Linked DNA regions of Ovis aries. The protein of the gene in region 1 interacts with the protein of each later gene in a biochemical or structural test. Links are inferred from orthologs where the notes say so. Each region holds a gene or a part of one and is shown on either strand. Other genes may lie near its edges.

Evidence for each region. The genes of interacting proteins can lie anywhere in the genome.
Region 2: of the proteins of WNK1 (region 1) and KLHL3, one has a biochemical effect on the other in vitro, tested with the Homo sapiens proteins (2 studies listed by BioGRID). The link is inferred for Ovis aries from reciprocal best matches to the Homo sapiens genes WNK1 and KLHL3.

Annotation. Positions count from the first base shown.
Region 1 is NC_056056.1:213,515,562-213,519,209, forward strand, and holds part of WNK1 (serine/threonine-protein kinase WNK1), read left to right. Parts: intron 1-1,066; coding exon 1,067-1,216; intron 1,217-2,385; coding exon 2,386-2,844; intron 2,845-3,598; coding exon 3,599-3,648. UniProt on the Homo sapiens protein: Serine/threonine-protein kinase component of the WNK1-SPAK/OSR1 kinase cascade, which acts as a key regulator of blood pressure and regulatory volume increase by promoting ion influx.
Region 2 is NC_056058.1:46,721,506-46,725,153, reverse strand, and holds part of KLHL3 (kelch-like protein 3), read left to right. Parts: intron 1-670; coding exon 671-788; intron 789-1,230; coding exon 1,231-1,428; intron 1,429-3,167; coding exon 3,168-3,269; intron 3,270-3,648. UniProt on the Homo sapiens protein: Substrate-specific adapter of a BCR (BTB-CUL3-RBX1) E3 ubiquitin ligase complex that acts as a regulator of ion transport in the distal nephron.

The DNA.
Region 1 (3,648 bases):
AGTAACAAAATTTTGAGTCAAACAAACGTTCATCATTAAGATATTGGTACCATAGATAAATGAAAATGGTAGGTCAGAGAATAGTATTTATAAAAATGGGCTTTTTTTTTTTTTAAATCAATGTGTGTAAGTGACCACTTATGCATAGCAGAAAATCCATAAAGCAAGTGCACCGGACTACTAATTGTGGTTATATCTGGAGAAATGAGGTTGGGTGTTTTCATTTAACTCTATTAATGTAATATAATGGTTAAAATTTTTATTACAAACAGGTGTTTGTTTTATATTTTAAAATTAATTTTTAAATTACTGATAGGTATTAGAGAATCTTGAAAGTCAGCTGTGAAGTTCAGAGTTTCAGCTAGAGGGGACCATTAGTTTTACTGCAAAATTTAATACTTGGGTACAGTTACATGTCAGCATTGAGTGTAGACGTATTATACCAGAGGGTCCAGCACGTGCTGGATTCCCACATGTCGTTCACTTTGCTGCACTCTGAATTGAGTGATTGTGCCCTTGTTTTCAAAGAAAGAAACCTCATTTTAGTAGTAAAATGAGCAATCACAAAGGTATCAGAACTAGTCTATGGTAGAGTTCAAAGTTCAGTGCTTTTCTTCTATCTTGTAGCTGTTGTCAGAGCTGTTCTTTAAGCAAATTAATTATACAGTTGAGAAACTAGACTAAAGAGATAATACGAACCACATTGAGAGCTGCTATCAAGAAATGGGAGCAAAGAGGGGAGGGCATTTGGAGGAGAGAACATCTGTTTGAACCTGGATCTGAGGTGTCTGTAAATATCCGAGCTGCTCCTGGGGCAAGGAGCATGTCAGGTGAAGAACCAGTGGTGACTCAGACTCGGAAACATGGGTTAGTTCTTGGTTGACCCATCACACAGAGCAGCAGAGGAAAAATGAAGATGTGTAAAGGGAAATTGGTGAGTTTGACTTTGTGCATGTCTTGATTACTAAAATTGCCATCTCTTACAGACACTGATAAGCAGATGTCCTGCCTTAGAAACATGCTGTTAACTACTTGAAATAAAACTGAATGATGGTTTTCTTCTCAGCAGCAAGGAGTGCAGCCAACAGCCCCCTCTCAGCAGGTGGCGCAGTATCCGCTCCCTCAGACATCGGCCCCCAGCGAGGCCGCGATTGCACAGCCCATGAGTCAGCCTCCACCTCCGCAGGCCTTGCCACACGTGTCCGCGGGAAAACAGGTGAGTGCCATACTTCTGGAAGGAGCACCGCATGACTTCTGCTTCTCTGGTGGTAAAACTGCTAAATGGAATGAACATCACTTCTGTGCATTGTTCCCGTTCAGTCGCTCAGACTGCAGCCCGCCAGCTCCTCTGTCCATGGTGTGTCTTTTGTAGATATGAACTGATTAATATAAATGGGTTTATAAAGCAGTGGTAATCCAAAAATGTTCAGTTTTTAGGTTTATCAGCCTAATAGAAGTTCGACAGATGTAGAACTGATAAGGGTGCTGCAGTGATGACATTTTCTAGAATTGTCAGTTGTATCTGTTCTAGGTTTGCAGTTATGCCGTGTTTTCACATAGACTTATGTGTTGTTCCCTGCCCGCATTGTCTTCTGACAGTCATAAAAAAACCTTATATGGAGTGGGGTTTTTTTTTTTCTCTAAATAATCCTTCTAGTACTTGAAAAGTAGCCTTGTTGAAGATAAACACCTTTCTGAATGACATTTTTTCAACTTAAAGGTTGGGGCTTGTGCTTGTATTTTGATACAGTGTATTGTTTCTGTCATATTTTGTCACATCTGAGACTGTCAGTTGTAAAATGCACCATTATTTTAGGTAACACTGAAAACTGACGCACCATTAATTGTAAGGTATATCTTAATTTCATAAATGTTAAAGTGACCATGTGGAAAGGCATGATTACATCCTGCAATTAGTGGAAGATGGTTGTAGACCTACTCTTACAAGCCTGGGTAGGACATGAGAACTGTGGAAGCAATATGGATGAGCTATAAGTTCACTGAGGAGAAAGTCCTTTGAATTTCAGCCATTATATAATAGCAGTTGTAAGTTCAGTGACAGCAAATGTACCAGTGGATTATGGCTTGAGAAACATGCCTCAGTCAGGATGTGAAGATATTTCCTATGCAAGAGCTCTCTGTTGTTGATGGTGACGTGTGAGTGGAATTTTCTAGCGCAGATTTAGAACAGCAGCACTCCATCAGCCGCCCGTCTGCAGCTGCCTCTCCCTGATCCTGTTGGCACGTTAACTTACACTAATATATGCAGGGATTGGTGTTTGTTTTAATTTTCTTTCTTTTTGGCTAATAAATAAGTCTTGCTTTTGGCAGCCTTGCTTTTTTTTTTTTTAAGTCTGTCTGTTTTGTTTTTCTTTACTTTCCCAGCTTCCAGTTTCCCAGCCAGTACCAACTCTCCAAGGCGAACCTCAGATCCCAGTTGCAACACAGCCCTCAGTCGTTCCCGTCCATGCTGGTGCTCACTTCCTTCCTGTGGGACAGCCACTCCCGCCCTCTTTACTGCCCCAGTACCCCGTCTCTCAGCTCCCCTCTGCTCCTCCTCACGTGTCTGTGGCTCAGCCAGGCTTCCCACCCCTGCCCGTCACGATGGCAGCTGGTGTTAGTCAGCCTCTGCTCACCTTGGCTTCATCTGCTGCGGCAGCGGCCGTCCCAGGGGCACCTGCTGTCGTCCCTAGTCAGCTTCCTGCCCTCCTGCAGCCTGTGACCCAGCTGCCGAGTCAGGCTCACCCACAGCTCCTGCAGCCAGCAGTTCAGTCCATGGGGATCCCCGCCAGCCTTGGACAGACTGCCGAGGCGCCACTTCCCCCTGGAGATATTCTCTACCAGGTATTGTGCTGGCTGGTAGATGAAGGGCCCCAGAGGGTTTGGTCGTAATGACAGAACATCGGGGGACTTAAAAACCGAGTAACTGAATATCATAATAACCAGCAATAACACAGGTTGCTGTTCTCAACCAGACATGCCAAAATAGTCCACATCTGAGCAAGGACCCAGTAGAGATGTCTGACTCATTTGCATCTTTTCCAAGACCCCTCCTTGAGAGAAAAATGCCTCTCTCCACATTCGCTGTGAGCTGAGAGCTCGGTATGACTCAACAGTAGATTGTATCAGGCTGCGTTTTTTTTATGGGAGGAGTAATGGTGGATAGCCAACATGGTGTCAATGGAAACCTTTAGGGTTTAGATTTAGAACACTAGCAAGTCATTGTGTGACTGCCATGACTGATACCTGCAAGAGTTTTTGCATTTTCATGTTGGACTGCCTGGAAAGTAGGTGGTTTTTCTTGGAGGAATTATGTTTATTCTTCCTATTTAAAATGATCTCCAGAAGGGGAAAAAAGTAGCAGTTTATTATTATTTTTTTTTAAGTCACAGTTTAAAAGTTCAGTTATGTACTGTCCTGTCCTCTAAATCAAAATCAGTCAATCATTTCGTTTGAAAATCTTTAAATTATTAGAGATTGGGCTACTTTTCTTTGCTGTGTGCTTTCCTTTCTTTTTCTTCTTCCCTTGCATGTCTTGCTGTTTTGCTCATTTGATGACCCAACCTGCACTAATTTCCCTTCCTCGTTTCTGTCACAGGGCTTCCCACCTCGACTGCCATCACAGTACCCAGGAGACTCAAACATTGC
Region 2 (3,648 bases), on another chromosome or scaffold:
CAGTGTGGATGGCAATATCTGCCTCACTGAGTTGCGATGACAACATACTTCACATGATGACTGGCAGTGGTAGCTGCTACCCTACTTGTAGAAATAGTACTAGTAACATTTTTCAGGACATCATCAGTTACATACATCTTTGTGGTAACCACCACAAAACAGTGTTTTACAATTTTTTTCCCATACTCCAGTGAATAAGTACCCCCTACAGTCTATTCATTCAAAAATATTTTTGAATTAATTTTATCTTAAAAATGCATCCAACTTCTATACTCTATTCTAAAATACATTCATATGTTGAGATATATATATATATGAATATTTTGTTTCAATATAAAATTTAGTCTCCTTGCCCCCGGTCCTTAAGGACACGCAGATGGTAGAAGATGCCCCAAGTGGCCTCACATGGCCCTAATACAACTGTGAGTAGGGGCACTTGGGAAGCATAGACTTAATGCTTGTGTTTCTGTGGGAAGATGTTCACTAGACTTTTCTTGAATATTCATACTTGTTGGTGATCAGGGGCAGCATCTTCATGTATGTAGCTCTGTAAACTGGCACTTCAGGTCATCCATGGACCCTGAGCAGTGAGCATGTATGTAGCAGGGGTTGGTGACCCATAGGTCTGGATGTTGGGGCAGCCAGCTAATGTCCGCTTGTCTCTCTGGAGGTCATGATCGTGGTTGGTGGCCAGGCACCCAAGGCCATCCGCAGCGTGGAGTGCTATGACTTTGAAGAGGATCGCTGGGACCAGATCGCTGAGCTTCCCTCCAGGAGATGCAGAGCAGGTGAGCCGCGCGGTCTCCCGGTGAGCCGCACGGTCTCCCAGTGTGCCGGCTGTCCCTAGCTCCCCCTCCCACCCTGCGGGTCTCGGCAGGGTGCTGAAATTCTGCTCCCTGGTTCTGAAAACATTGTGCATTCCACACTCCCTTCCTTTCCCTTCCCCACCTGCGCACTTTCTAGCTGTACCTTCTGGGATCGGTTCTTATGTGCTTAGGGACTTTAGGCTAATGCAAATATTTGCTTGACACAAACAAAATTAGCAATGCAAATCTGAGAAGAAATCCAATGAGTCCCATAGTGATTTCCAAATATCACAAGTTGGAGATCACCTTCTTTGTTAAACTATCAGTATTTATATGCCTGCCTCATTCCCACATTGTCACTTATCGAAATGTGAGTCGTCAGCTGTTTGAGATGACCCTGATGCCTTGGTTTCCTGTGCCTCAGGTGTGGTGTTCATGGCTGGCCATGTGTATGCAGTGGGCGGGTTCAATGGCTCACTGCGTGTGCGGACAGTGGACGTGTATGATGGGGTGAAGGACCAGTGGACGTCCATCGCCAGCATGCAGGAGCGCCGGAGCACGCTGGGTGCAGCTGTGCTCAATGACCTGCTCTATGCCGTGGGGGGCTTTGATGGCAGTACTGGTAGGTCCTGGACTCAGTCACCATCCAGCCTGAGACATGCACTCCATGTTACTCTGGTTTGAAGCTTCCCAGGTGGCACAGCAGTAAAGAATCCTCCTGCCAATGCAGGAGACATAAGAGATGCAGGTTCGGTCCCTGAGTTGGGAAAAATCCCCTGGTGTAGGAAATGGCAACCTACTCCAGTATTCTTGCCTGCAGGATTCCATGGACAGAGAAGCCTGGCAGGCTACAGTCCAAGGGGTCACAAAGAGTCAGACACAACTGAATAACAACCCACAAGCCTGGTTTGCTCAGCCAGCTCTTGGGCCAACCTTTGGTCTCTCTGTAGCTACTGTCCCAAGAACATACCCATCCTTCCTCCCCTCCCAGCTTGTGTGTCAGAGTCACACCTTCCTACACACACAATACCATCCATGTGCTCTCATTTCTAGGTTCCAGGAAGTACCCTACCCTCAGAAGAGTCCCTTTTATCCTTTCTAGTGTCTGGGAACTCTTTTACTCCACAGACAAAACATAGAGCAAGGTCAACTGGAGGGTGTCTCGGGACTGTGATCTGAACCCTCTGCTGAACAGACGGGAGAGCTGAGGTTCAGTTGTGGGAAGAGACTTGGCTTGAGTCACACGCCTTTCTCCATTGCCCTCCCTGCTGCCCCACCAAAGCTGTGCAAGGCTGTGACACTGCAGAAGCGTCTCCTTGCTCCTGGTGTTCATCTCGCTCCAAAGTCAGAATCGGAAACTATTGATACTAGTGGACATGGACTTGGAGAAATTATCTTGCCTCTTCTATCTCCAGGTGGAGGTCTCTGTAAACACTTGACTCTTTTGGTCCCCAGTGACATGAAAAACAATATGCTTTATCCCTCTGAAATTTCATTTCTGTCTTCACTAGTTGGTAAACGTTTGCAACCTTCTCTTTGCCTCTTTCATGTCATTCCAAGTTATATAGCACCTCCGGAGGCTGCTTCTAATGAGGGGGGACTGGGAATAAAGAGAACAAAGGATAGTGGGGCATTGTTTCTTTTAGGCATTGCTTTTGACTGCTAGTAGAAAACCTGACTACACCATAGCTTAAACAAATGAGAGCTTTTGTTTTACTTGTGAAACAAAGTCAGAGGTTGGCAGTTGCTGACTTGGTTTAGTTGTTCAAGGATCTTGGGCCAAGATCTTGCAGAGTCTCTTAGACTTGTCCTCATGGTCACAGGGTGGCTGTTATAGCTCTTGCCAAAACGTTTGTATTCCAGGTAGCAAGAAGTAGTGGGGTGGGGGGAAGGGGTCAGGGCTGAGAAGGGGGGCTCTTATCAGAAAATCAAAGGCTATTTCAGAAATCCTGCTTAGATTGCATTGACTTGGTCACCCCCAGCTCTAAGGAAGTCTGGGAAGACAAGTTTTAATCTTTCTAGCCTCTAAAATTGAGGAAGACAAGGGGAAAGAAGGTTGAAATAGGTGTTCAGTGAGGCAATCTCAGGTATTTAGTCCATTCTGTGGTTTTATGATTTACTTTAGACCCTCATTCTTCTCACAGCCCACTCTCTAGGTCAGGTCTTAGTGGTCCCCTCAGACAGACACTGCAGATGTGTTTATGGAGGTGCCATGGGATGCATGGTGAGGCAGAGGTATTGCTGAGTCATACTCCCCCAGGTTTTCGGCCCCCAGGTCTGCACTCTTGCCCCATCCTCACTCTCAGCCCAGCAGGGTGAGGCCTGGCACCATAGAAACCTCACGAGTTGCTTGTCTCCCAGGGCTGGCGTCGGTAGAAGCCTACAGCTACAAGACCAACGAGTGGTTCTTCGTGGCCCCGATGAATACGCGCCGTAGCAGTGTAGGCGTGGGTGTTGTAGAAGGTAAGGAGCGACAACGGATGGCTTCTTTTCCTGCCCTGGCCCCCGGGCCTTCTTCCAGTGTCCTGGCTCTGTTCCTCTCCTTACTGCCGAGTTGGATACTAGTTTCCTGATTAGCAGATGAGAGAGGTTGAGACTCAGAGAGGTGTAGCTACTGGCCCAAGGCTAGAAATTAGGTGAGCTGGACTGTGGGTACCAGGAGGAGCCTAGAGGGAAAATGCTGGGCTCTCGTTTTGGCTATTTATCTATATCACAAGATGGGAAGTCCAGAGTCAAGATATAACCCAGGAATACAGTGTGTTTGGGAGGGTGAGAGTCAGTTGTTTAATCAGTTTTGTCCTCATATTTTATGTCGAGGATTGTCAGCAGAGCCCTGAGTGAG